Arabidopsis thaliana: one gene and its partners. The protein of the gene in region 3 interacts with the protein of the main gene of each other region in a pairwise test. Each region holds a gene or a part of one and is shown on either strand. Other genes may lie near its edges. The genes, in order: AT1G62330, ELIP2, ABCG16 and AT3G28220.

Region 1 (8,451 bases), on a different chromosome or scaffold from region 3:
CGAAGCTTTGCCATATTGTCGGGAACAAGCATGGCGACTCCTCATATAGCAGGGATTGGTGCGCTCATAAAACAACTTAATCCTTCTTGGACTCCAGCCATGATTGCATCTGCCATCTCCACCACGGCTAACGAATACGATAGTAATGGTGAAATTATATCAGCGGAGTATTATGAGCTAAGTAGATTATTTCCATCTAATCATTTTGATCATGGTGCGGGCCATGTTAATCCTGCTAGAGCCCTAGATCCTGGACTAGTTTTACCCGCTGGTAAGTTTTTTACATATCATGGAAAGGAATTGATAAATTATACAAAGTTTGTGCTATTAATGTAGTAAAACAAAATCTTATAGGTAACTTTATAATATCATTTTTGGGGTATTGGACCAGGTTTTGAAGACTACATAAGTTTCTTGTGCTCACTGCCAAACATTAGCCCAGCCACTATCCGAGACGCGACAGGAGTCTTGTGTACCACTACGCTTAGCCACCCAGCGAACCTTAACCATCCGTCAGTAACTATATCTGCACTTAAAGAGTCACTTGTGGTGAGAAGAAGTTTCCAAGACGTCTCCAACAAGACTGAGACATATCTTGGTTCGGTTTTACCTCCCAATGGTACAACTGTACGGTTAACCCCAACTTGGTTTACCGTACCACCACAGAAAACTCAAGACCTAGACATCGAATTCAATGTCACACAAGTCTTAAACAAGTTTACATTTGGTGAAGTTGTTCTTACTGGAAGCTTAAACCATATTATAAGAATACCGTTGTCAGTTAAAACCATTTGAAAACATAAAATTTTATTGTTACTTGTCGATCTCACTTAAAATAAGGTCTTTATTCTTAAAAATTTCCAACGAAAAGGTTATTGACACTCCATCAAATAGGAACGGAGATAAGTTTTTTCATAAAATGAATGTATGGAATAAGGAAGAGTTATTTTTTTTATTTGTTCAGCGGCTCTCACATAAAACGTAAACAACAAACTAGTTATTATATTCTAAATTTTACATTACAAATACAAAATCAAATAAAGTGCAAGCGTGCTCCGTTTCAACCTACCACCCTGCGAAGGTTGAGATACATTCTAATTACACATATGAAGGATGATTACACAGATGAGCCTAATACACATGAAAGTGTTACACATATGAAATCTTTAAAGATCTAAGATGTTTCGACAATATATATTTCGAATTATATACTTAAATAGACCAAAACATTCATGACGACTAATATGGTGGTCTAGGAGGGCGTGGCCCAAGAAGTCCTGGAAACCAAGTAGCTCCGGGAAGTGGAGGTGGTGGATCAGGTCTGGGAGGAGGTGGAGGTGGTGGCTGAGGTCCTGGAGGAGGTGGAGGAGGGCGAGGCTCCGGAGGCGGTGGTCTTGGTGGCGGTGGATGGTGGAAAGGAGGAGGATGACGATGAGGAGGAGGATAAGGCATTTTGTGAATTGTTATTGCAATATCTGTCTTGTGTACTAACTTAGTTTATATATAACATCAAGATGAAGAATCATTGTTACCGACAAGTCTTTGAAGTGTAAAACAGTTACTCATTAAATAAGTGCTTAGTAGAATGGTAGTTATCCACCTAATCCTTCAAGCTAACTTTAATTCTTCTGGAAGGATTTCATACTTATGCATGTATAGAGAGATAAATTTCATACTTACCACCGGTTTACCAAACCCAATCTTAGTATTTCCAGCATCAAAATACCCCCAAAACCAAATACTAATAATACCATATTGGTACCAAACTCAAGCTTGGTACTCACTAGAATGTGTAGCCGCTACAAATGCCATGAAAAATATGAAGACCGTTTAAAAAACCGAACCAACAATGTAAACCAAATAATCAATCTTCATTACACATACATTCTTTACATCTTGGATAACGGTAAACGCTGCGTCCCGTCGGTCTAACCAATACATGTTTGGTTTGCCTAACCGTTTTTCTCACTCTCTGCTCGAACACTTTCCACTCTATAGTATTGTTCTTCAACAATATGTCTGAGAATCTCCGTTTGTTCGGTCTGATCGTCGGCATTTTCCCTGCTCCGTAATATATCCGATAACCCGAGACCAGAGACGACAATTGGCTCCCTGAATCCGTCATCGCAAAGGCGTCTGATGCAGCGCATGCAATGAAATCAAGAACCGCTAGCTACATAACCAGAAAGAAAAATATGCAATTCTTCGGTTTAGTTTAGCGGAGAAAGTTAACCGATAAACCGAAAAGGAAGTTTTGACGGGTTTTCTTGTTTTCATTTCACCTGAGATGAGAAGTTCTTGAAAGGCTCTAGCTCAGTTTGTGAGAGTACATTCTCTTTGGTGACTAGATTCGGGTAGAGACTCGTTAAAGCTGCTAACCGTTTATTCCCACCATATATATTCGCACCAGCGACGAAAACACGTGTCTTCCGACTAAAACCCAGACCCGCAAGCATAAGCACGGCTTCTTCAGGTGATAAAGGACAAAGTCCTTCTGTCCTCAGATCGTCTGGAGATGGCATTCTGCATAAGAGAAAACAAAAGGGCATTCAGTGAGATACCAAAACTGAAATAATAATGTGAAAAAGAGTTAAGAGAGGAAAGGAACAAACTTTTGCGTCTTTGTTAGATTTGCCAACGTCGGGAAATGCTTTTCCCGGTAAGCATCAAGCTCTGCCTTTTCCGCATCACCTCCTCCGAAGTAACAGAGAGAATGAGCCACCATATCAATTTCAAACCTGAGATGGACTGCTAGATACTTAGAAGCCTTATGGAGAGGACCTGCTTTCTTGTCCAATATGAATGACGCAAATTTTGGACCGACGAGATACGGGTCAACTGGTGCAAGGTGTGATCCACTATCTCGTAATCTCCTTACGAGTATCGCACCCGTTTCTTGTATCTTCGGAACGAAGTTTAGCGCATGAAAATTACATCTACACCGCAGCCTCTACTCCCCAAGAAAAAGTTGGATCATTACGGGTAATATATCGATATCCACGGTGCTAAAAGAAGGTTCTTTACCTGTAACTCAAACGGTATCGGGTCAAAGGCCAAACGGTTTCCGAATCCTAAGAAATGGACGACTCTGTTTTTGAGTAGAAGAGGAAGAATGTGCTTCATATAAAACCCGGGCTTGGCTTCTTTCATGACATCTATATCCGTAACCTTAAAAAACGACATAAAAGAGAACTACATTAGAAAAAATACGAAGATGAAATCGGTTTTTCACACTAAAAGCGGTGTAAGGAACTTACGACGCTGCCAATAGCCTCAAGATCTAGAGACTGAAGCTCTTTGGGTAGTTTCTTTACAATCCGGATATCAGGAGAAAGATACTTTATAAAGTGTTCCACCTGATAGATATCTCCAAACTGACTATGAAACATATATATACCATTCAAGAGTGTTAAAATTTGACGTTTTCAAGAAAGCATCAATTATAAGAGAAGGAGACAGAGAACGGAGGGACCTTACAATAGTTACCTTGCATCGGTCCAGACATCGCTGAACATAAATTTAGGAATAACGAGTGTCGCATTTAGCATCCGCGCAACAACAACGATGTTACAAACCTGTTTTAATAATGTCCCCGCGAAATCCAACGGTTAGTCAATATAAAGAGTGGGACATGACAAAGTAATGTGTAACGCAATCAAAACTTACAGCAACTCTCTGTTGGTTGATCCCACCATTTGCAGTTACCATTATATATCCATTTTTACCATCTAAACTCCACACACAAAAAAAAACACAAAAATCAGAAAAACTATACCTATATAGTACGAGAAATAAACTCATTGAGAGTAAGAGTAAGAGACCACTAGGCTTCCAGGAACGTTGATCAGCACAAGGCTTCCAAGCCAAAGCTTGGTCCTTTGGTTCTCTCCACAACTCTTTTGGTTCAAGCTTGTTTTGCCCCTAACGAACACAATGTCTCGGTCAGTAGGCTTTTCGGTTTCGGTTTAAGAATTCGAAATGTCGAAAGCGGAAAGGATAATACCTCAGCCAAAGCATGAGCAGCATAAGCCAACAATCTACCATATGTTCCATTATATGTCTTCTTTGGTTTTCCCATCTTTTTCTTCTCTTTATGCTACCAAATCATAAGTCACTCAACATCAAATGAAACTTCCATAACCATTAATCCAAATGCAAAAATCATGTAATATATAACATTACACTACATAAACTTACCATTTACTACAATAATTTCATACTTCACCTAGCAAAATCTCAAACATGTAAACTTTGTCTCCTAACCACAGCATTTTCACATTCTAACTAACAAATCTCAAACAGAGGATTTTATTTTTCTCTAACCAAATCTGTATTTGAAGTAATTGTATATTAGACAAAAAGTTTAAATTTTTACACAATTTAACCATTTGGGGATTTGAAATTGATTTGACAAGAAACAGACTGTTAAAAAGTTAAAGTTCACAGTAAACTGACTGACCAATCACATTATTAAATTTTTAACTAATTTACCTGTACATTCGCCGACACTTTAACGGATACCCGTTTCACACTCGAGTTCGGATCCGGGTTCAGTTTCGGTTTAAGATTCGTTTTTTTCGAGAATCCTCTCCGTAGCCAAGCTCGACCTTCATGGAGCTGAGAGAGCATAAACCAATTAACGAAAATGAAGAAACCAACAAGTACGATTACAAACGCGGCGGTTTTCGCCGTTCTGATTCGTTTCCTTTTTGCTCTCTTAACCGGATTTTTCAAATTCCGGTTTGGATCTCCGTTGATCCAAGACAAAACCGACCCGATACAATTCGACCCGGTGTTAAGAATCTTGTCTCCAGCTACTTCTGAAAAGCGGGTTGGACCGAGACGTGTCGGTGATTGAACCGGTGAAGCTCCTCCTCCTCCATGGATCAGATCTTGGACTCGAAGAACATCGCGAGTCTCTGGTTTCTCTTCGTCTGGTCTCTCAGAAGACATGGCTAAGCTCACACTCTCTCTCAGTTCTGTTCGATCGTGAGAGATAGATTTGCTGAATTTAACGAAGCTAGCGAAGAAAGAGCGAAGTGAGTGTTTTTTGCTCGAATTTCAGTGAGGATTTTTCTTCTTTGTCTGAACGTAATTATTAAAGTTTTTTTTAAACCTTGAGATTGACGCTGGTATTAATTTAAGGTCCCTGTCCTTTAAAATCATTTTAATCTTTACCTATTATTTTATCTAATACGAAATATAACCCTACGTATGTCCGTTGTGGTTTCAAAGTTATAAGAAATTGATCAAGTAGACTGTTCTTAGTAGTTGTTATCATTTCTTAGAATTAATAACATTTTGGTAAGACAGAATTAATAATTTTGTTGAGTATTTAAGATGAATAATAATTTTTCATTTAGCGATGTGTAAAGTTGGATTAGCTCCTACCAACTACGTAAATAATAAAATTGAAAACTAGTTTATTACTACTATCTACAGCTTGTTGAAGCTATATCTATGAAATTTGAATAATTTTTCATTGTGTTTCATAACATAAACAAGTAGCTAAACTAGCTGTCAAAAACAAAAATAGTTGCAAGCATGTGTTTGGTATATTGGGCTTTTTGTGTGGAGGGTTTCAAATACGCTTTCTGCATATCAGAGTAATATGATTTTAATTGGGGCCTAGACATCTGTTTTTGGTGTTATATTAATTAGACAAGAGTTAGAGAACTTATTAATTTCCTTTTGTCAGGCCTTTTTTTTTTGTTAAAGGAAATATAGCACATGCAGACACTTATTAACTTACTTTTTCAAGATAATTAAGTTAAGAATTTAAAATTGTATTTACAACCATTTTAATATATGTATATAGCAATTGATACAAATGTTTACTTTTTCGACATGGTACTAGTACTACACGTCTACAAGGACTAATATAATGAGAGTATTAAAAAACAATTGCAGTTTTGATGTAATCCCAGATAGTCTTAACGCACGTCCTTAGATAAATTTCTGTGACACTGATGAAAGGTGGTTATTAAAAAAAGAAAATGAAGAAAAATGTAGCTAGATTATTCACATTGATTTGGACGTAAGAAAAGTAATTCGTATTGGGAATAAAATAGACAAAAAGGTGATTTATACTGAAGAATATGATTATTAAAAAAAAACAAAAAAAATTATAGACTTCAACGTGATGGCACGGTATTTGCCTATTTTCATTATTTTCTTACTTGAGTAGTATTAGTAACAATTTAATTAAGCTAATTTCATGATTTTTTACTTTAGTCAACTATGAAGTCATTATCTTATTTTAGCAACAAAGTTATTATTTTAGTTATTTTAATCTAACTTTATCTCCAAAATAAGCATGGGTATATCTAAAACAAATAAGATAGATGTGTAATAATAATAAAAAGTTAGAGCTGGTTTAAGTTTAATTTAGGAATAAACCCAATTGGGACATTTTTTTGAAATGAAACTTTTTCAAGGAATAATAATAGTCTCTTGAGTTAGACGGCCGACCAACAACAACTAGATTCAAAGATTTTAAAAAGATCCAACTTTTTCATCATCTTCTTCTTCTTCTATTTCTCCGTGTATTTTCAGCGTTTTGTATCAACAAAAACGGCACGAAGTTTCTTTTCTTCTCTTCCCCATTTTTGTGCTGTTAACAGAACCAATCTCTCTGTTTTTTCCATACTCTGTTTTTTCTTCCCTCTCTCTGTTTCTGTTTTCAGAGGAAGGAGAAGAGAAAACTAAAGAAACTTGTGCAATACTTTTCCTTGAAGAAAATTTAAAGATTATATTCGAAGAAGCTTTTATACAAACCACACAAATCTCCACTTCACCAATATGATTTCTTGATTCATCTCATATTATTTTCTTCTTCAATCTGATCGCAAGAACATTGTGAAAAAAAAGAGTCAACGAAAGGGCCAAATTTTTTTGAGTAATGAGTTTCTAAAGGTGAGATTAGTATAAGCGTCTTTGACTATTATACAAATCTAAAACTTGATCTTTGTGTCTAAACTCTTATGACAATTTTTAGGGCTCTTATATATTTGCAGGTGAAGAAAGAATTTGTGAGGGTTTATTATAAATTAGTTTGAGGAGATGGCGACATTAGCAGATATTGGACTAGCAGCAGCGATTAATATTCTAAGTGCATTGATATTTCTATTGCTATTTGCAATCTTGAGGATTCAACCATTCAATGATAGGGTTTATTTCCCTAAATGGTACTTAAAAGGTGTTAGAAGCAGCCCTGTGAATTCGGGTGCTTTCGTTAGCAAGATTATGAATTTGGACTTTCGATCATACGTTCGGTTTTTAAACTGGATGCCTGATGCTCTTAAGATGCCAGAGCCTGAACTTATTGATCATGCTGGTTTGGATTCTGCTGTTTACTTGAGGATTTACTTGATTGGGTAATCAAAAAATGTTTTGTTCTTGCATACAGTTACTAATTATAGCTTTGTTTTTTTTTTCTAATGGTTTTTTTTTTTGTTTACTATTTTATAGGCTTAAGATCTTTGGTCCGATTGCATTACTTTCATGGTCAATTTTAGTACCTGTAAATTGGACAAGTGATGGATTGCAGCTAGCAAAACTTCGTAATGTAACATCGAGTAATATCGATAAGCTTTCGATTTCGAATGTCGAACGTGGATCAGACAGGTTTGTTAGTGAAAGAAAATTATGTAGTTGCTACTTCTGATTTTTGTTAAAAACTTTATAATGATTAGAATTTTTCTTAATTTGGTAAAAAGGTTTTGGGCACATCTTGTGATGGCTTATGCATTCACATTTTGGACTTGCTATGTACTAATGAAGGAATATGAGAAAATTGCTGCAATGCGGTTATCTTTTCTCCAATCAGAGAAGCGACGTGCTGATCAATTCACTGTAAAGATTATTGTTTTCATTAATATAGAATCTCTCTTTGCTATTTGGTCTGAAGAGATAGTTTCCAATTTTTAGGATATTGTATGCATTTGACAGGTTCTGGTTAGGAACGTACCACCGGACTCAGACGAGTCGATTAGCGAAAACGTGCAGCATTTCTTTCTTGTTAACCACCCAGACCATTATCTTACACATCAGGTTAGATCATAGCATTAAAGGAATGAATATTTCTTTAGGTTTATTGCTATTCGTTAAGTATTTTAGACTTATATATATCCAGGTGGTGTACAATGCAAATGAATTGGCTAAATTGGTAGAAGACAAGAAGAAAATGCAGAATTGGTTAGATTACTACCAGTTGAAGTATACAAGAAACAAGGAACAACGGCCACGGGTAAAGGTAAATACTTTGACAAACCCGAAAAGCCGACACACATATTGAGACCGAAACTTTTTTTTGATTCGCAGATGGGATTTCTCGGGCTATGGGGCAAAAAAGTAGATGCAATGGATCATTATACAGCAGAGATCGAGAAACTTAGCGAGCAAGTAAGTATCTTTCTCGTGTAGGGGTGCACAATGCCCCAAACCCTAAAC
Region 2 (6,167 bases), on a different chromosome or scaffold from region 3:
TTCTTTTGAAGAAATAATGTTAGTTTGTATTAGTGTTAAAAAAAAAAAAATGTTGGTTTGTATTTAAAACAGAAACAAAGAGAAAAATATTCATTGAATTTGATTTGAAGATTATAATTTTACTATTGACTAATGACTGAAATATTTAGTTTCTTTGAGATTTTAATATACATTGAATCATATATATGAAAGAAGACTAACTCTCTCCCACAACTTGACACATCAGCACATGAGAGCTTGCCACCTATACTTCATAAAATAAGTAATACATAATTAGTAATTAATTCAACATAACAACTAAAATATGAGAATATAATTAATGAGAACTTGAAACATCACTCTTTTTACATTTTTTTAATTCAATATATCCTCTTTAATTTTGAGATCCACTTAAGTGGCTAAAGTGATGATAAAATCCAAACATGTTACACATATTCCTAGCCTAAAAATTAGACGATTATTATGAAAGAAACTAAATGAATATGCAGATTAAATATATCTAAGCTTTTCGAGATCTATGCTAAGAAAACAAGTAATTTGAAAGATATTTGAGGAGCTATCCTTATAACTAATACGTAAGATATAAGATTATGACAAGAACTTAACTAAACTTTCCAAGAACATCAAGTTGAATATGCTTAGATTGAATATGCAGAGATATGATTAATAAAGACATGTTATATTTTTAGTGTAAGAAATAAATTTTCTAAAATTTCACCGTCTCACAATCTATACATATAACTGAAAAAGCAAGGATATATAAATTCAAAAAAAAAACTGAGAATCTAAAACAACAATAAAAACAATTCAATCACATTCGTTTTTCAGATGAACTAATATAGTTGGGCTTTTCAAAAACAATTACAAATCATATTTATGTTTCAAAACCTATGCATTCAATTTTACTTTATATGAACAAACATTATATAAAATAATTTGTAAATAATACGTAAACCCGCACGTAGTGCGGGTACTCATCTAGTCATTGATAAAGAGGTAACATATTTTTAAGAGATATAGAGTTATTATTTTGATCTAATTACTGATTAATCTTACATAAACTCAACTATCAATCTTGTCCCAAATAATATAAAAATCTTTAGCAAGCATGTAACGTACCATTCACTATCTAACAAAAATCCAAACATTGGCATATGCTACTAGAGGTCCATTAACAAGACAGTACTAATGAACGAACATTTTCACATGTCAAATGTTTCATCTTTTTCATCATCATCATCCTTCAATTTCAACAGCAGCCTCTGCTTCAGATACATAATCATACCTAATATCAAAAAAAAAGTTAATAAGCATTTCATTGATGTATCAAAAGATAAAATCATACTATCATAGACAATCATCATAAAAATCGAGTTTAAAATAGCTTCGACTCTTTGTTTGCATTACATATTAAGCAAAATTTCCTTTGCTGATTGTAAACGCCAAACCAAACCTTTCTGATTGCGTTTAACTTAGCAAAAGAAATGTTTTATATAGTAAGCTGATGAATTTGTTATCTATGTTAAAACACAAGCAAAACAAAAAAGTGGGTTTGATTCTCACTTTATTTTGCGAGTAAGTTGGTATATCCCTGTAGCTGCCATAGCAACATTAACACTAAACAGGTTCCAGTTTTTCTGTTAAAAAAAAACAAAAGTCCAAAGAATCAGATCGATAAACCAAAACCAAGAATCCAATCACAAAAGTAAAACTCGAAAAGCAAACAAAACTTACAGGAGTAATTATAGTGCTGCAACGACACCAAATCATTCCAGTGCATGTCACAGCTAATACAATAATTATGGATAATATGTTTATAACAATAATTGTAACAAGAAAGATTAGAGATTTCTGAAGAGTAGTAGTTATTTACCAATTTGCTGAAGGTACGAAATATTTTCTGGAGGTTTCTGGAAATCTGCAATGTTAGCAATGCTTATACCCCACTTAAATGTTGGAGCCCAGAAATGAACTGATTAATACCCAACAACAACAACAACAAAAAAAGAGAGAAACTGTTTACAATTAGAATATATTATTCATTAGAGGATTTAAAGTGATATAGATTTTTTTTTGTCAAGAACTGTACTATAAACAATTCAACATTTTCCAATAGTAACGTTTCAATAGAGTCTTAATTGAAACGGAAGAAGAAAGAGTAATATATTATTGATGAAACAATGTGATAACTCACTTGTCTTTGGTCCTGCCGGGTGATTCCAGAGAGCTTGAAGCTTAGACGTCGCCATCAACTTTTGTTTTCCTCGGAGATTCTCTTTTCTCTGTCTTGTTTCAGTCTCCTACATAAATATTAACGAAATGATGCTACTCAAAACGACGTCGTATAAGCAATATGTAATTGAGCCACTCAAATCTTTCCGATTATATTCATCGATCGTACTATCGTGTAGTGTTGTAGTGGCCAGATCTTTCCTCTTTTAAGTGTTTTTTTGTTTGTTCATCTTAATATATTTTTTTTTGTTCTTGGGAAGCATTGACGCTTTGATTGGGCTTTGATGAGACTAACCCATGGGCTTGAGAATTGAGATGAGGTGATTTGTTAGAGAGAAATCGCATTCAATTTCGTTTCGTCTTGGAACTTGCTTTACTTTCATTATGGCAGACACATGATGACTCTATTGGTCGATAATAACAAGGAAGAGCATAATTAATTATTCTTGGCTCTTGATTCATTTCAAAAGAATGCATAAACTCTCAAACCTTGGATAGAAGCTAAAATTTATTTTTTACTTCTTCTTCTCCATTCACATTATCTTATAAGAAAACTTTTGAAGTACTTTTTCAAATAAATTTTTATAATGTTTTTTTCATGGTTTTAAATTTTGATTCATGTTGACACACTGTTTAAAACTCATAGTATTAAATCAATCTATGCGTTACATAATCATTCTCCAAATTTGTCCTTAAACTAGCAAACAAAAAGCTTTAGCTTTAGACTAGAGTCCCACCAGTGACGTACTCGGTGAAGGCCAACGCAACGAGACCGAGCATCGCAAACCGACCGTTCCATAGCTCGGCGTCTGAAGTCATGAACCCTTTTGACTTTGCCTCTGCCCTTATTCCCTTGAACAACGGAACCATCGATGCCAACGTCAACAACGCTGTTGTTCCTAGAAACCACCCGACACCACCGTCAGAGATCTGAGCAAACACGTTTTCTCCCTTTGATAACTCCATGGCGATGGCCGCCACGAATCCAACCATTGCTAGTCTCCCGTTGATCCTCTCGGGTGCTGGACCGCTAAACGCTAGCAAATCTCCAAACTTCGTACTCACCTAGACAATAAGAAAATTATTCATTAGCTTCATTTTTTTAGCTAGTGATATATATTAATGACTTTGATCATTAGATCATACCTTAGGCTTGCTAACTGGTGGAGGAGGAGACTGTGGCATTTGTGGTGGAGTGGCCGAAGTCGAGGTCGAGGGCACAGAAGGATCTTCCTTGATAGGATCGCCCTAAAAAAATAGTCAATGTAAGGAACGGTCAGGATTAAAAGTCAAATAAGTAACGTAGGGAAGTGGAAGGACTATGAGGTTAGTGTATATATACCTGAGCCATGCATCTGACTCCTACCGGAGCAATCCTCTTGAAGAAGAGTTGGTTTGTGTTTCTGATGTTGCGTGTAGTCAATACACCGGAAGGAGCAGCGAACACTGACTGCATGTTAAACGACGCCGTTGCCATTTCTGATTAGGTTTTCTAAAAGCCGAAGATCGATGAAGAAGAGAGAAATGAATAAATTATAAGACTTGAGAAGTGAGATGGAGTTGGTTTGAGGTGTAACTGTAGGATTATCTCTTCATTTATAGAGTTGGTGAAGGAAAATGATAGGCCCAGTATTTTCTGGATTTTATTTATCTTTACTGATTTATGGGATACTATGATTACTTATTTTATTTTTGTTTTTGTGTGGTGTGTAGTAGAGTAATAAATAAGTAGAAAGAAATCTATCAAAGAAAAGAAAAAAACTGAATTCAAACTTTTTATTCCTTTTTTTTCTTTTTTCCACTTTAAACTTTTTTTTTCTTTTGGGGAAGAAAAAGTTTCCTCAGAATAAATGTTTTCAAACTTATGAGATTTTTTCCATATTTATTGTAACACCTAACAAATCAGTTGGTCATTCGTTTCATTATTTGTAAAACTACCATATTAAAATTATACAAATAAATCGAATTATTTTGCTCGAAATCGTTAAAAATGTGAAAAAAAAAGAAGAATATATCGATATTTGGGTTGAACGCTAAACACAAAAACACGTAGCCAATAAAATTTGAGAAATGAGAGGAAAGTGAGGTTGAGATCGGTGAGAGGCCACGTCTAGTTGGAAAAGTGCAAGTAAACTGATGGCGTGGCCTCCTCATTACACATAGATACACATCTTCCTTGTCTTTTTCTGATTGGTCATGGCCAAGTGGGTTTGGCAAAAACACGTACAAATTTTTTTTTTGTCTCAAAATGTTAATAACAAGTTAGTGGCTCACAATATTCACTTGGGACTTGGGAGATTCGTTTTTGGTATAGAGAGAAGTCGCATTCAATCTTGTTTCGCGCGTATTGGAACTTTCTTAACTTTCATCATGGCAGACCCATGATGACTCTTTTGATCCTTTATGTGTCCCATTCATGTCTTCGTGCCCAATTCTCCTACGTGCGCTGTTTTTTTTTCCAGATTAGAACGGTAAATAATAGCACAATTGTGAAGATATGGGCATAGTCTTCGTGTCGGTATAGTCTCCTTTTCTATTGTCTTTTGTGTGTGAGTTAATTTCTAAATTTGTAACAAGGAGAAGAGAAACCTCTATTAGTGCTTGTAATACTTTTTGCTTGATAGTGAAAAGTTGTGGGAGACAGTTCCCACCCGAGACGTACCGGTTAGAGGCCAGGAGGCAGGAACTCGGTGATCAAACTCTTGTGTCAATTTCTAGCTTAAGCAATCTAACGTTCCACACATATAGAAAACTCAACAACAATTATTTAGATATGAATGATCAGATTTGATGTACCACCATCGATATGTGCTCTCTGCGAAAACTCTTTATATATACTGAAAGAAAACATACACCCACATTGGTAGTTTTTTTTAATGGATTTTACTAGCAGAGGATAATAAATTTATCGCATATATTACTTACATTTGTAGTTTCAAATACGAAAAAACTTGACCATTAGTAGTGTGAAGTGTGTAATTGATACTTTTGAGTTCAGGACGAAAAAATGTTCACGTCATTCGTGAGGAAATAAGGCATTTAGACTCAAAAGTCCAAACATGTGAGAAGGTCCTCGAAAGGGCGAACAATAAAAAGCCCCGAAGCCCATAACACGAGTGCCTTCTTATCCCCATGAGTCTTCGAGTGGACAAAGAGAGAGAACAACTTTGGGAAATTTATAGTAGTTTGTGAAGACTTCATATAAAAATTGTATTTATGAGATTATTGTGTTTTAAGAGGAGAGACGACGAGGGTCATCATTCATTTAATTACTTTTAACATTATAATTAAGTTCTGATTTATCCGGTCGTTTATGTAATTTATTGATTATATACTTAGGTTATTTAGCCGGCCACAAGGCCAAGCAAGCAAAACATAAGCTTGCGGCCGCTAATCATATTATTATTTAGTTTTGGCCGAATTTGCATAAAAATGTAGTCTAATGGTTAAAGTTTCAGTATTTGAGTTACAAGTTCCTTAGTTCAAACTTTGACAATGTGTTAAACTAATTTTTTTTTAAACGACAGAATCACTAAATAAATAAATATTATGTGGCCCATTTTGTTTCTCTTATTGTAACCCCGTGAAACCCGGGGACGACTAGGTAACAAATACTCTTTGGGTTTTCTTATAAATCAAATGCATATCTTTGATAAACTAAACCATGAAAGAAGGAGTTTTTTTAACTGATGAATTGATGATTATTGAAGTTGATATAAGTTAGATTCAAGTTTTGATGTACTGTATTTGGAACAGAAATGTTATAATATCTTACTAAAGCCCAGTTCGGAACAAGGCCTTACCCTTATTTAAAGCCCCAGTAGATCTGTTTTGAATTGTCGCTATGAGTGAATGAGGATGGGTAGGTCGACCCTCAGAATTCTTAATTGGCACATGTTGAATGTGAGCCCAAAGCAGCCACCAATAAAGTGAAT
Region 3 (7,722 bases):
ATTAAAAGGGACTTTCAACATGCAGTCACCAGCATAGATAACTTTGGAGGCGAACAGTGACCTGCTCAGAAGTTGATATAGTTATTAACATGGTTAGTGTATTTGACATTAAAGATAAAGCATCACACCAGGAGACAGCCTCTGGTAGGAAATGAAATTGGTTATTCTCACAATCACTCATTAAACAATCGCATAAAGATGGAAAACAATCAGATTACTAAACAAGACAAAATAACATGATTCAAAGTTGTACAATGTTTCAACTATTGATGACAAGACAGAACCATATTAAAGAACATCAAGACAAGTCATATAAAAATTAAGCTGCCACAGAAGGTATCAACAAAGAATCTGATCATTACATTGAAAGGGAACTATGAATAGAATTATTGAATAGAGAAAATGTGTCTAACAATCCATATTTTAATTGCCGGTAAACAGAAAACCGAGGTACTCGAAAAACGGATTTTGAAAAATACTTGCAAAGTTGCATCTTATTCAAAACATCATCAAGCCCACCTGCCATAGGTGGATTTCCCAATCGAAAGAGTATTAGTTATCTTTGCTCCAGCAATTCGCTCTAACCAGGGTAAGAAGTTATTGTCCAACGAAGCCTAGATATAAAATGGATAAGATGATCGTAAATCCTCTTTTGTGAGAGACATAAAAGTTCTGTACAACATCTTCTTACATCAATTAGCTCCCAAAATCAACAGTCTGTTTGGTTAACTATAGATAGAAGAAGCTAAAAGAACATAAAGGTTTCATCTTTGGTATCAATTGCTATCAGTAGAGGAGAAACATACATAACTTAGAAAAATTCTTGGAACCACACTCAGGTATGATAAAACTTTTCTAACACTTGAGATAATCAAGCTGTGAACAGTCCATCACATTGATTTCACAAATTTCACGAAAGTCTCAATCTTTCACAAATCAAACCTGAGTTTGGAGCTCTAACGTTAGTTTCCCGGCGAGACTGAAACGCTTGGCTAAAGAGCTAACATTGCGCCTTTGTTGAAACCCGAAAAGCTTCACTGTCGAAATGCAGAATAGCATCTCCAGCCAAACTGGATGGCGCGTGAGCAACCACCGCTCGTATTATGGACTCGTGTTTCGACTGCGGCTAGAGCAGAGCGGCCAGGACCAGACGATATTCTGATGCTGATTCGGTCCGGTTTGTTTCGGTTTTAAATTTCAGATAAATCGGTTTGTTTTTAATTGATTTTGTAGATAGCCTTCCAATTTTGACTTTTTGATACCTTACAAAGTGAAATGGCTTTGAGAGTTACTTGCCTCTAGCAACAGTGTCTGTGTCTCCTCATTTTTCTTCCACAATCTCAATGCCTCTATTTGAAATGTTGCATTAATTTTCTGAGTAAAAGCGATTCATAGGTGCTTTTTGTATTTCCAATTTCCTAAAGAATGATATTTTTTTTATTGATGGCAAAAGTAATACAAATGTTAAAAAGAATACAATTCAAATACACAATCAATCTACGAATTACAAGTAATGAAAAAGAATTACAATATATGTTTTTGGTTTTAGGTATCATCAGTAGTTTCAGTTTCACCTCCTCTTGTTTTTGCTCCCAAGCAACAAACACAAGTAAAACAAAATCCTAAATAGGAATCCGAAACCTACCGTGATAAGCAAGCAGTTCCATTTACTAAGCTGTGTCACTCCTTGCTGCTTCAGAACATCAGCACCCGTCGTTAAACACGTAGAGCTCGATATCCTCATACCTATCGACCGGCTCACAGAATCCAAAAGCCTCAGCTTCATCCCATACGTCAATTCTCCCAAAGGCGAGTTGTCGAAAAGCTGAACACCTCTCACAAAACATTCTGTAGGATCCGAGAACTCGTTCTGAAGAACCGCCTCGTATGGATACTTAACCAGAGAAAGATAATGAAACCAAATCCAATACTGAGGGATTCGATCTCTGTTGATGAAGAAGCCACTGAAAAGCAAGAAGTAAGCTAAAATAGCAACAACGATCGTGTAGCCTAACATCACATGTGGAACGACGCCGGATAAGAAAGTCACGAAGGAGCTTCCGGACCAGAAAGAGGCTAAGATGATTAAGCAGTAGAATAAAAAGCCCATTAGGCCTCCTTCAAGCCCAACAGCCCAAAACGTCGTCACTGCGAAAGCTAAAGAGAGGAAGATGAGCGAAGGGAAGGTAACAATGGCGTGAGAGAGAACGTAGGAGGATCTCCGGTAAGCGTTGTAAGCTGTTTCTCTCATGAAGATGTAACGTTCCTGGAGGAACACGGGAAGAGCATCGGCGCAAGTGTAGAACATTGTTGACATTGCGAATGCGAAGAACCCTAACCGCTCTTGAACTCCTTTTGGTGAATTATCCAATCGCCAGAATACGGTGGCTAAGATGAATCCGGTGACGATTACGGTGGCTAATCGCATTCCGAGTAGCTCCGGTTGTCGTCGGGAGTTGAGGATTGAGCGTCTGGTGAGAGTTTTGATTTCGATCCAGAACGGATTCGCGAATGCAGGGACGGCTAAGGTTCCGCCACCGTGGTTTATGACGGAGGAACCACCGCCGCCACCGGAGACTAGTTTTCCTCTGCTTATGCTGGCGGAAATCGCTTCTTTCAAGGTTAAATTTGGGTTTGGAGAAGCCGGCGGAGTTAGGGTTTGAGGATTGCTCTGTTTCTTCATCTCTTGCCATTTCTTGTTGAATTCAACTAATCCTCTTGTTCCTCCAGCTGATCCTTCGAGTTCTCTGATTAGATCGAGTGCAAACTCCGTTTGATTCTCGTTTTCCGGTATCGGATTACCGAACCCGGCGAAAAAGCTCGGTAGACTCGCCGGAGAACCACTAAAGACGGTGTGTCCACGTGACAAGAAGATAAGACGATCAAGTAAACTGAGAACTCTGTGACTTGGCTGATGTATTGACATTATAATGATACTGCCACTCTCTGCGATTCTCTTCAATACTTTAACCACCATGAAAGCACTTGTGGAATCTAAACCAGAAGTAGGTTCGTCGAGGAAGAGAACAATCGGGTCGTGGATGATATCGATTCCGATCGAAACTCGCCTTCTTTCTCCACCGGAGATTCCACGGTGTCCTTCGTCTCCAATGATTGTTTTAGCAGCGTTTCTTATCCCTAACTGGTCGATTAGGGCTTGAACTCGAAGCTTCTTCTTGGATTTAGGTAAGCTTCTTGGTAATCGAAACTCAGCTGCAAACATTAAGGTTTCTTCCACAGTAAGCATCGGGAAGAGAAGATCGTCTTGCATTACATAAGCTGAGATAACTTTCAGCATCCGAGATTGAAGAGCTTCTCCGTTAAGCGTTACCGTGCCCTTCAAGCTTCCTTTAGCGATCCGATTCGCTAAAGCGTCGATCAAAGTGGATTTACCTGACCCGCTAGCTCCAAGAACGGCAAGAATCTCTCCGTCACGAGTCTCACCGGAGATATTGTCTAGAAGAGTCTTGGTCTTGGAGAAAGATGTCCTCCTCCATGGAACCAGGTCGTGAAAGTCAAGTTTCCGGCGAACAGAGACGTTGTAAGTAAGGTTGTTGAAAGATAGAACGAAAGGAACAGGACGCATAAGATGATCATTATCTCCGTCAAGTGAAGAACCATCCCTGTCAAAGAATTCATGAACAGGAGTTTCGTCACCAACTTCAACCTTACGAACGTCGCTAACGTTCTTGAGAAGTTGGCCTAAAGTCAAAGATGAGCTAATAATCTCCATGGAATGAAACGGTGTTGCATTATCATCTTCTACTAGTATGCGAGACATTTAGAACAAAAGATGGTAAAGTGAGAAATGATGTGCTTACACTTGAAAATCAAAACACTCTTTGCATGATCAAAATGTTAGTCTTTGTTCTCTGTTTTGCTAGTATCTGTGTATAGGCCTTATATATATGAAGTAACGTGTGGAAGCGTGTGAACACGAAGGTTCTATGTGTTGAATGAGTTGCATCATCATGAGAAATCTGTTAGGTTTGTGTTGTTAACAATAATATTCTTAGCGTTTGGATGGAAAATGCGTTTTGGATTTCTCGTATTCAATTAGGGAGAGGTAATGGGATGACCAATAAATCTAGATTTTCCAAGGTGATAATACTAAAATACGTAGAAATGGCTGACACGTGGCGATTAGAATGGAGAATTAGGTGAAGGGTGTTGATCTAACCGAGGTATAGATAGTATATAGGATTGAGATGAGATATTTCTTGCGTTTCACATAGTGTTTGGTCAATTAATTAATGTTTTTAAAAGATTCTTCGAATGTTGGTAGCGATATAGTGATTGTTTGTATCGCAAGCAAATGTGTACCTAGATAAACTATTCACATTTTCTTTTGTTTTCGCGACCGAAGACGATTGCTTATGCTGCTAACTGCCTAAAAGTTGCAAATTGCAATAATTCCGGAACCCCAACTAATTCTACCAAATATAATATAAAAGTTATATTTGATAAAGTAGCTAGATTTGTATTTAGTTTGGGAATATAAACTCCTGTTTTTGCTATGAAAGACTACACACAATCTCCAAGTTCATTTTTTCTATTTCTTGATTATTTAGTTGGTAACGGTGGAACATTCTTTACCAAACTCAAATATTGTGTTTGGTCTTTGTTTCCTCTGTTTTATTCACAGTATACAGAAGCTGATAAAACATTCTTTTTGTTTTGTAAAGGGTGGAGTGGTGGTTTAAGAGAAATATAATAAAAATCGTCAAGTTTGTTGCTAAAATTAAACATGCATGCGAAAATTACACGAGAATCATAAAGATGGTGTCACATTTCAAATACTATTTGTTAAGAAAGTAAAAATAGTGATGTCTTTGATCCATCCAGGGAAAGAAGAAACAGATCAAAAGGTTAGGCAACTTCCTCTTAAGTAGTACTTGGTCAAACTTCTAGTGATGGACACAATGGTAACATGAAAGCAAAATTGACGTACTGGCTTAGCTTCTTGGATTTCCAATCCTAAACTTTGACTTCACTGTTACATCTTTTTGGTTGACATTTTGAAGTTTAGGTGACTAACTTCTACCTACTGTAGTCTTCCTTACCGCCATAAGAAAAGGGTCAAAGATTTATAATACCATCTAATAAAGCTTATAAGAAAGTTGGCTACTTTGAATTCTATTTTCGACCAACTGTTTAGTTGTATATACTTTTGTTTTTAAAAAGTGATGCAATTTGAATTTTGTCAAATACGTTATGTTTACACCGACCACGAAAGATGGCATATAGCTCACACGCACATTAAAACTACTAAATTACTTCACTGGTAGCTTGTGGTATCTTTATATTAGTTTGAACTTTAAACTATTGATGTAGTTCATATTGTTAAGTTAAAAACATTACCAATTGTGAATTAAACTAAAATCTTAGTCCTTTATAAAATTGTGAACCTAACATCATGTAAAATGTTAGATGTACGATTCTTTCTTTAGACAATATATGATAGCTATGAAAGAAAAAAATAATAATTATACAACATATATCATCAATATCTCAAATTCAAAAAGACAATTTTGCTTTCACAATAAAATTTCTGTTTCGGAAAAATTTACATTATGGCGTTCACGCCCTCTTATTCTTGCTTCCAAGCAACAACGAAAAATAAAACAAGATCCTAAAGAAGAATCCCCAAGCTAACGTTACCCACAAGCAACCCCATTTATCCAGCTGCTCAATTCCATGCTGCTTAAGCAAATCAGAGCCCGTCGTCAAACACGTTGATTCCGTTAACTCCATCCCCAAGTAACCGCTCATTGTCTCCAGAAGCTTAGCCTTTGTCGTTTCAGATACTCCTTCCATTATTGTATTATCAAACACTTGGTTTCCTCTCACGAAACAACGGGAGGGATCATCGAATTCGTTGTGCAGAACAGCTTCGTAGGGATACTTTAGCAGAGAAATGTAATGAATCCATATCCAATAAAGATGGATTCGATCACGGTTGACGTAGAATCCGCTGAAGAGGAGGCAGTATGAGAGATAGCCAAAGGTGACCATGTAACTCATCATCACGTTTGGAATCACACCGGAGACAAATGTAACAAACGAGCATCCTGACCAGAAGGACGCGAAGATGATCATAAGATAGTAGATAAAACCTGCCAGACCACCGTTTAGACCAACGAACCAGAACGTGGTCGCTGCAAAGCCTATGGAAAGTGCGAAGAGATGAGGCAGAGTTACTAAAGAGTGAGATATAACGTAGGAAGATCTTCGGTAAGCGTTATGCGCGGTTTCTCTTAAGAAAATGTATCTTTCTTGGATAAAAGCGGGTAAGCCATCCGCGCAACTGTAAAACATTGTGGCCATTGCAAAGGAGAAGAAGCTTAACCTTTCTTGGACGCCTCTAGGAGAGTCATCTACTTTCCAGTAAACCGTAGCCAAGAGAAAACCGGTCATCATGACTATGAAAACTCGTGTTCCGATAAGCTCGGGCGTTCGGGTCCAGTTTATCATGTAGCGTTTAGCTAAGATTACGGTTTCGACCCACCATGGATTTACGTATGAAGGAATAGATCTATATGAAGTAGAGACAAGTTTGCCTCTTGAAATGCTTGCATTGATGGCTTCTCCCAAAGATGATGAGTTATGGTGAGGTTCTTGACTAACTCTTAGCTTCCTATGTTGCCAATTTCGATTGAATTCGACTAAACCTCTTGTTCCTTCGGGAGATCCTTCAAGATCTTTGATTAGGTCAAGTGTGAATTCCGCAATGTTCTCTTTTTCCGGTATGGGACTACCAAATTCCGAGAAGAACAAAGGGAGAGTAGCAGGAGAATCACTAAACACAATCTGGCCAGAAGATAAGACGATTACACGATCAAGAAACTCCATAATCCGACCACTAGGCTGATGGATTGACATAATTACGATGCTGCCGCTACGTGCAATCTTTTTCAAGACTTGCACCACCATGAAGGCACTAGTTGAGTCTAGTCCTGAGGTTGGTTCGTCGAGGAACAAGACTATAGGATCGTGAATAATATCGGTCCCAATTGATACACGCCTTCTTTCTCCCCCGGAGACACCACGATGGCCTTCATCTCCGATCACAGTGTTTTTAACAGTTGTGAGCCCTAATTGATCTATTAGGGTTTCTACTCTGTTTCTTTTCTTTGATTTGCTTAAGCTTCGCGGAAGCCTAAATTCGGCAGCGAACATTAGAGTTTCTTCGACTGTGAGCATAGGGAAAAGGAGATCTTCTTGCATTACATAAGCTGATATGACTCTCAACAAACGAGATTGCAAAGCTTCTCCGTTTAGAGTTACCGTGCCTTTCAAGCTACCTTCGGCTATTTGTCCTGCTAATGCATCAATAAGCGTTGATTTTCCAGCTCCGCTTGCACCAAGAATGGCTAGGATCTCTCCTTCTTTAGCCTCTCCAGTGATACCATTGAGCAGTGTCTTTATCTTAGCAGGGCTATGTCCGAAACGAAGACCAAAACGCTGTTGAAGAGTGACGTTATAGGTGAGGTCGTTGAAAGCAAGGACGAACGGAATGGGCGGTATCTCAGATTCATCAACATCGATCACGGCGTCTCTTTGCAGCATCTCGCCGGAAGATTAACACAAAGCGCTGTGTTATTATTTTATTGTTGGAGTAACCTTGAAGCTTATTTGAAGAAGAAGCTATTCAAGAAAAGGAAATTAGGATTAGACATTATTGTTTAGGAAGCTGCCTAAATAAATATGTAAGTTATCCTA
Region 4 (7,880 bases), 9.9 Mb from region 3:
TCTGATCAATGCAGAGTTATAGAGTTCCCTCATCTAGAAAACGATGTGTATTTTAGAAGAGCTTTCACAACATCCCAAGGATCTCTTATGTATATGAAAATTATCAATGAAGAAAAAGATGATGGAAGTTTAGGGCTTAAGTTATGTGTATGGAGGTTAAAGAGTGGGAAATGGGAAATAGTATCTGAAATATCTCCGGCTTGTATCAAGAGTGGTTTAGATTACTTTCCGTTGGCAATAAACCCTTTTGATGCTAATAAAATGTATTTGTGGAGTGAGATGCATAAATGTTTAGTATCTACTAGCTTGCTCAAAGGCAAGTTTCGGCGTCACAAGAAGTTGGAATATAGTAGCGATGGTCGCATTATGAGCTTTGCTGGAGACTGGAGCCCGTTTGAACACCTCTTTAACCCATGTTTCTCCAGGTTTGCTCTCCCGCATTGGCTGCATCGGATCCCTTCCTCGCCTCCAACCGACAAGCTTCGAATGCGAATAAGATTACGGAAAAGGGCAACTTAACAAAGTAAGCAGTAATTACTCAAACTGTTATGTTTCTGATATTATTTACCTTTCTTCTCTATACATGTTTAGAATCGTTTTGGCTGAGGATTTGTAGCTTAACTTTTATGTAAATCTTGTCGTAGGGCTTAACATCAGCGGCTTATATTTTTTATTTTTATTTTGTCTACAATTTTTTTATGAGATTTTGATAACACTAGAGATTGTAGGAAGAGCAAAACTTTTTTATTAACCTAAACTTCTTTAGGATAGTTAAGGAATCTTGAATTGTCTATTTGGACGTAAAGTTAAAACCATCCAGAGTTGGAGCTCCCTTCTTTAGTTTCCTTTAGGATAATCAATAAGTGTTCTGTTTCCAAATGAATGGTTTTAGAATCAATGTGTCTTTGTGACTTGTGATGCAAGCAAAGAGCCAAAAACTGTGTGGATAGGGTTGGATTTTCCTCTTTGATTTGCTACGTACGTTTTGTCATCTCCCTTCCAAGCCTTCATCAACTAGTAGAGAGTATTTTCTTTGCTTCTTATTTATTTCCTAAAAGGAACGAGTTGTATTAGATATTGGTAATTTTGATTTGCTTATTGATGATTGTTAAAAATACAATGAAAGAAGAGTATGGATTGGTTACATAGCTTAATTTACATAGAGTATACATGGCAGATATATTATACATTATGAATTGCTTGGTAGATCTATATGTATTATATACACTACATAACCAGAGAAATAATAGAGTAACAAACAGATGAAAGAGAGCAAATAACAAAGAAGCACTCGTGAAACTTAAGAACATGATCGATGTTTATTGTTGGTGCGCAAAGCTTGTTATTATTTCAAATTACTATCATACGCGCAAACTTATTCGGTTGATTTTAGAAGTGTTATTCCACGGTTAGTGTTAGTCTTAGTCGCAGCTAGAATGAAGTAAGAACAAGAGTTTTTCAATGGTAAATTAAGACTGCTTTTATTCTTAGTTTTCATTTATTTAAATAGGAAACAAGTACAAGAAAAGCTAGCTTGGAATCAACGATTTCTACAAACTAGGGAATTGGGAAAAGTGGGAGATAGGCTCCTAAACCTTAGGAAGACCAATCCTCCAATTATTAGCACAAAAACACTTAAAAAACAGAACACAATTGGTTCCAAGCTCTCTGGTTTTGCATTATGCAAAACTTAACTTGGAAAGTATTTTGTGTTAGAGAAATCTTCAAATTCAATCTCCATCTTCAATGTATCATTCACAAGAAGACCTTTAGAAGTATCCTTAAGATCAGCAAATGGTACAAACTTCTGGAATCCCCAACTGTTTGCTTGATCCGACCAGCTTTCAACTGTCATTAAGTTAGTGTTAATTAAACTCTAAAAGAAAAAAATTAATAGAGTAAGTAACATTAGCCACACTATTATGGTTCGATATAATTTACCTTTCTTCTCCATGTGTTTAGAATCTCTCTGGTTTATAATCCGTAGCTTAGCTTTTAGGTAAATCTTGTCATACGGCTTAACATCAACCGCAACAACATATAACGACAACGAGTTACCCTGTCCTTCGCCATCGCCACTTGGATACACTTTCAAAGCCCTAAGAGTTGTATATTAAAATATTGTAAATAGTTAATTTTTTCTTGAATCAGTATTAGTAAGCCTGCGCAAATAAACCTAATCGAATGTACCGAACTAAAATCGAAACAAAATAACAGAATCGAACGGAATCAAAAATTAAAAAATAATCAAATGGATACTAAATTCTATATATAACCGAAAGAACCGAAAGAACCGAAACTAAATGGCTACGTACCAAAATATCCCGGATAACCAAAATATCTGAAATATAAATATATTTCCAAAAATATTAGTTATTTTTAAACTAAATAATTAAAAATATTAGTTATTTTTAAACTAAATAATTAAAAATATATATAAAATAGTTAAAATATTCAAAAATAATCAAAAATATCCAAAAATAACCGAAATATCCAAAAATAATTAAAATATCCGAAAATATTCAAATCAAAATAACGGAATGGATACTAAATTTAAAACCGAAAGAACCAAACCGAAATTTCAAAATAACCAAATAGATAATAACTTTAGAACCGAAAAAACCGATAACGGAATGGATAACCGAACATCCAGGACTAAGTATCAATATGTGGCTTAAAGAATTTATGACATGAGGAACTCACCAGCTTCTCCCACCGATCACGAACTTGTCAGAGACATAGTACTGTTTCTCTAGTGACGAGAAATTGGGTAACGTCCATTTGTAAAGGCGGTCATGCAAACTCTTAGTGAATGAGAACACTTCCCATTTGTTAAAAACTTCAGTGACAAATACGTCCACACCGAATAAAACATTGTCACCGTCGAAAAGCCAACCAGCATTGGGATTAGCCACGTCGGTGTAGGGTCTAACATTACCATATCCCCAATATGGTTTGAACAGAAAAAAGCGTTTTGCATCCGTCTCTGTGTACCAAGACATGCGTTTGAGATTGTGTGTTTTTAAATGCAAATTTTGGCATTTGAAACTATGCAAACTATCAGCGTCTCAATTGTTTTAAATTTAAACGTTGAAAATTTGATTAATACAATATAGTTTATAAATAAGATATAAATAGGGCGTTCGGATGTATATACCTTGATATGTTAAGTACTTGTCCTCTTTCCGGTTATAAATGAAGAATTTGACTTCTGCGTAAACTTCTTTTGGAGAGTTAAGGAGTGTTGAATTGTCTATTTGGACGTACATTGAAACGTAATTAAGTGGAGCTCCTTCCTTAATGTTTCCTTTAGGATAGACAATAAGTGTCCTGTTTGCAAAAGGATATATAGTCTTACAATCAAATGTGTCGTTGAAAATTTGTGATGCAAAGACATATGCAAAATGTAGGATAAAATACTACTTACCAGTTGTATCCACCGGATTCAAAAGGACGGGATTCGTACTTCTCGGCGTTTGGAGAAGTGGCGAATTTTATGAAAGATTCGATTTTGAGACAATAGGTAGATGGTGGGATAACTCTCCATATTTCTCTCCTATCAGATAGCTTATGGGAGGACATTGGGCTATCGATAACGGCAATGGATGATGTTGTTGTTGTTGAAGGTTGTGTTGTTACGATTTTCATGAATTGGAATGCAAAGAAACAAGAAATGAAGCAAGCCAAGCCAATTGCTCCATAGTTTGTCTTTCTCTTCTCCTCTTGAAACATGTGGTCTTCTTTTTTTATCAACCCCTTTTCAGACATGTTTGGTTAAGTGACTGAATTGGTAAGTGTGACGGTTATAATTTATAAGCAAATGACTGGAATATGTAATGGAGTTAGTTAGATATATTTATCTACACACCAAAAAGGTGAGTTAGTTATATATGTATGATGAGTACCAACATTTATTTGGTATTTAGCTTTTTTTGTTTGGTATAAAGAGTTCTTCACCACAAATATTTATAGCGGAGGATCTTTTGTGCGTTCGATAAAAGTGATAATGTTATTATGAACAAGTTATATATTCACGTGTCTTGAGATTTCACGTCGGTATAAGATGGATTGCGACCAGATAAGATTTCTTGAGTTATCGACCAGAAAAGATTTGTTCAACACGTGTTTTCAAGAAAAAGACAAAAGTTTAAGTTGTACCTAAATTTAGCATGTAACGTCAAACACTCCAGACATAGCTTTAGCTAACAACAAGAAATGGACCCAAACGCTCTACACCACAACATAGTTTTGTTCTTCTGTTCCGATCCTAGCCTCTGTTTTTGGATTTAGCTTTAGCTTTAGCTATAATGTAGAACTTCAGTAATCAATACAAAGACTAAAAACTATATTTTATTATATACGTATCAAAACTATCGATTAAATGCTTAATAATTAATTTTTAAAAAATGTTTTTATTTGTAGAAAATATTTTTTATTAATTTATAGTATAATATATAATAATATTTGAGTTTTTATTTTATAAATATCTAGAATTTATAATAAATAAATTATTAGGAATGACCTTCCAATGCTACTCATTTTTAATTCTACCCTTTCATGTAATTCATTTTCATTACTCTCTTTTAATTTTTAATAACCATATATCCTTATTTTTTTAATGTTTAAAGTTAACAAAATAAAATTGTGTTTTTCCTACCAACAATATTTCGACGATAATTTTTTCGCCAAAAATAGTTTTTTTTGTTTGTACAGACGGTAATGTTTTTACATATGATGGAGGCCAGATTCACACACTTGTGTGCATGCAAGAAAATTTTTTTAATAACATGATGGAGTCGGTGGGATTGTCTTTGTTTGGGCAAAGGATACGGTATAAGCTTCCTTTTGAGAAGTTTATAGAGCTGAACCGTTGTATACTAGAGATGATATTTTCGAGAGAATGTGTCTAGCTGCAAAGTGGACAAAAGCGGTTGTTATATTTACGGAGAAGGAATAGATTCTTGAAGAATGTAATGATGAAAAGAGCTTGTGAAAACGTCAATGGTGAGAATGCTCGAGTTTGTGATGATGGAAATGATGTTAGAGGAGGTGATGATGAGAATGACATTTTTAATGTTGGAATCCAAGCTAAAAGTCGGCCACAAAACAACTTGGTGAAGGTCTGATACGTTCATGAGAAGTTGGCACGTGTGAGAACTGAAGTGAGAGATCGGAGTCACGTGTGAAGAAACTTATAAATAGTAAGAGTCTAAGAGAGAGTAGAGAGAAAAGCATCCTTCGTGATCATATTGATGTTGTGAGTAGAATTAGGGCTTATGCATGTGCTCTGTTCTTAGGAGATAAGATTGGAGAACTGTAACTTCAAGCTTATCGATTAGGGTTTTGATTCTTTGTAATTGGATTGATAGATAAGAAATACAAAGGATTACACTTTCATTCTTATCAAGGTCCGAATCAAGTATCACAAATTTCACTTAGTGATTAATTGTGTAAAAGCTTTTGGTTTGGGAAACTTATGATGTTCAGGATGATGGTTTTAATTTGGATTATCGGATTTATGTGTAACATGATGGGATGATGGTTTTGACTATGATCTCGGCTTCAAGATATAGATTATGGTTTTTGGCTATTTGTCTTGAATTTTTAATTTGTAGGATAATGGTTTTTGTCTTGTAATTGCCTCGGGTTTGGTATGTTATATACAACATTATTATGTTATTTATTCATTACTTTTGTGGAGAAAAGAGTGATAGAGATTGCTTGGTAAGAAAATAAACAGACACAGAAATTGGTAACCGAGTTCACGGCCTCAACCGCTACGTCTCGGGGTCTCGGGGGAGATCTCTTGCTCCCAAGCTTCACTAACTTGTGATGATGTCTTTTGGTTTTACAGATTTGCACTCAAGAAGAACAAAGATTCAAGAACAACAAAGAGGAAGAAGAAAGCTTGTTTAGGAAGCTCTTTTATCTCTCTTCTCTAGAACTCTTTTTAGATTCTTTTCTCACCTACCTCCACTATACGTCGTACGTTGTAATGCATATATAGGTGACTTAAATGAGCAACAAACTTTTGCCCACATTTTGTTCTTCTTCACCTTGCCAATTTCGTTGGCCCATTAAGGCCCAATGTTTGTGTTATGTAAAACCCAAACAACAACTTTCAATTGAAACTCAAACTCAATCCAATAAAATACAATCAGAACTCTTAACTCAACAAACTCATACTAACTTTTCATACTTAAAAGATGAAAACATAGACTACAAACCATAACTAAACTACACCCGATAAAATTTTTGAAGTAACGTCGAGATTGAATCTCTTTCTTACTACAAAAGTTCATGGCTTTGAGCTCTCCAATCTCCTTCTCACATCCTTTTAAAAATGCTTTGATGACTTCAATCTCATTTCCATAGCTACTTGATATGGTCACACATGTGCGTGTCTCACCTGCTAGACTCTCCATCTCAGCTCCCACATCATATAAACCTTTCTCTAAGGATCACACATCTACTTGTGTCTTGTAAACAACACTCTCAACCTCTTCCATCTCTTCAACCATAGCTATATCGGTCCATTTGAAACAAATGTCGATTAGCGTACAGCAAAATTGAGTATTATGTTAATGATATTAATCACATATTCTCTTTTGTTCACAAATCGATTTCAGCATTACCTCATTTAAGCCATACGAACAACAATTCAATCTTTGGGTTCTTCAATGTATATGCAATCTAGATTACAGACACTGCACCACATTTACATTTTCTAAGTAGTCTTCTTACTGAGTATTGGAACCGACCCAAAAAATTGGACCCAAAACCGAATCTAAAAATTTAGAAGAAACTTCCCAATGAAGTTAATATTAATAAAAACATTCTTCTTCCTTCTCTTACGAAATATTACTCATGAAAATATTAATCTTCTTTCTTGCAAACAATGGAAAATACATGAGAACATAAAGAAGGAATTGGTTGATGCAAACTATTGTTACAAGAGAAGAAACTAAAACGATCTAACTGATGGTGAAGATTTTGATGAAACAGAGCTCCCTCTTCCACACCCTTTCTGGTTTCTTAAACTCAAAGCTTCCATAAACCTCTCGTTCCACCTCGAGCTTGTTCCCGCGGTATTAATGATCTTCTTGTTACAGACATGATCTGTCGGAAACCGGTGTTTCAAACAGAACTTGACTCCACAATATTTGCAAGTAAGGTTATTCGCAAAAGTCAGAATCTCTTTGCAACGTTTTACAGGACACGTTGGTTTCTTTTTCTTGTTTGGATCACAATCTCCGGATCTTTCGTGTTTCTCAAGCAAAGATTTGATTCCTTTTTCATCAAAACCAGTTGTTTCAATCGCTATTGAACATGTTTCACAGATGGAAACCGTTCTGCTCCCATGATCGGATTTCGGACAGTTATGTGACTTGTATGATCTATGCTCCAAACAAAACACCTTCACACACAAAACTTCTCAATCAAGAAACATTCAGTTGTAGAAAAAAATTGAAAGTTTCTGAGAAAAAGCTCTTACCAATTTGCAGCCGTCGCAAGTAAAAGGGAGAAAATCGAGTAATTTGCAATCAGGGTCTTGGCAATGCTCTCCAAGATCAGGAAACGCTTCTGTTCCTCCTCCTGCCATAAGCTTCTCTTCTTCTTCTTCTTCTTCTTTTTCTTCTTATTCGTGTGTTCTTCTTGTTGTTGTTGTTGTTGTTCTATATTTCTTGTGTTCTTGATTCTATATATATATAGAGGTTGGGGCTGACTTAGAGACGAAGCCAGCGTCCAAGTTGGATTTTTCTTTTGGTTGTCATTTTTAAGTTTTCTTTATTTGGATTTTTTCCTTTTTACACGTAACGCGGTTTTAGATGTTTCTAGGCCCATTTAGGCCTATTTGTTATGAATAAATTCAGACTTTT

Evidence for each region.
Region 1: the proteins of ABCG16 (region 3) and AT1G62330 interact in a protein complementation assay, tested with the Arabidopsis thaliana proteins (one large-scale study listed by BioGRID).
Region 2: the proteins of ABCG16 (region 3) and ELIP2 interact in a protein complementation assay, tested with the Arabidopsis thaliana proteins (one large-scale study listed by BioGRID).
Region 4: the proteins of ABCG16 (region 3) and AT3G28220 interact in a protein complementation assay, tested with the Arabidopsis thaliana proteins (one large-scale study listed by BioGRID).

Annotation. Positions count from the first base shown.
Region 1 is NC_003070.9:23,043,467-23,051,917, reverse strand, and holds AT1G62330 (O-fucosyltransferase family protein), read right to left. Parts: upstream 5,151-8,451; 5' UTR 4,954-5,150; coding exon 4,492-4,953; intron 4,097-4,491; coding exon 4,004-4,096; intron 3,922-4,003; coding exon 3,822-3,921; intron 3,729-3,821; coding exon 3,667-3,728; intron 3,576-3,666; coding exon 3,487-3,575; intron 3,379-3,486; coding exon 3,258-3,378; intron 3,169-3,257; coding exon 3,025-3,168; intron 2,951-3,024; coding exon 2,613-2,950; intron 2,524-2,612; coding exon 2,283-2,523; intron 2,174-2,282; coding exon 1,865-2,173; 3' UTR 1,581-1,864; downstream 1-1,580. Other genes in the region: ALE1 (PA-domain containing subtilase family protein), read left to right, coding at 1-271, 392-795; AT1G62333 (uncharacterized protein), read right to left, coding at 1,240-1,452; AT1G62320 (ERD (early-responsive to dehydration stress) family protein), read left to right, coding at 7,063-7,376, 7,471-7,626, 7,719-7,854, 7,951-8,052, 8,135-8,254, 8,323-8,403.
Region 2 is NC_003075.7:8,415,915-8,422,081, reverse strand, and holds ELIP2 (Chlorophyll A-B binding family protein), read right to left. Parts: upstream 3,841-6,167; 5' UTR 3,710-3,840; coding exon 3,575-3,709; intron 3,481-3,574; coding exon 3,379-3,480; intron 3,298-3,378; coding exon 2,953-3,297; 3' UTR 2,757-2,952; downstream 1-2,756. Other genes in the region: AT4G14695 (Uncharacterized protein family (UPF0041)), read right to left, coding at 1,237-1,285, 1,564-1,637, 1,735-1,787, 1,874-1,972, 2,195-2,249. UniProt on the Arabidopsis thaliana protein: Probably involved in the integration of pigments into the mature light-harvesting pigment-protein complexes.
Region 3 is NC_003074.8:20,414,772-20,422,493, forward strand, and holds ABCG16 (ABC-2 type transporter family protein), read right to left. Parts: upstream 4,140-7,722; 5' UTR 3,782-4,139; coding exon 1,571-3,781; 3' UTR 1,412-1,570; downstream 1-1,411. Other genes in the region: AT3G55080 (SET domain-containing protein), read right to left, coding at 1-61, 520-614, 943-1,059; ABCG17 (ABC-2 type transporter family protein), read right to left, coding at 5,581-7,569.
Region 4 is NC_003074.8:10,520,308-10,528,187, reverse strand, and holds AT3G28220 (TRAF-like family protein), read right to left. Parts: upstream 4,008-7,880; 5' UTR 3,769-4,007; coding exon 3,428-3,768; intron 3,331-3,427; coding exon 3,158-3,330; intron 2,987-3,157; coding exon 2,704-2,986; intron 2,100-2,703; coding exon 1,942-2,099; intron 1,849-1,941; coding exon 1,691-1,848; 3' UTR 1,455-1,690; downstream 1-1,454. Other genes in the region: AT3G28223 (F-box family protein), read left to right, coding at 1-519; AT3G28216 (uncharacterized protein), read left to right, coding at 4,764-4,910; PMZ (zinc finger (AN1-like) family protein), read right to left, coding at 6,965-7,417, 7,496-7,603.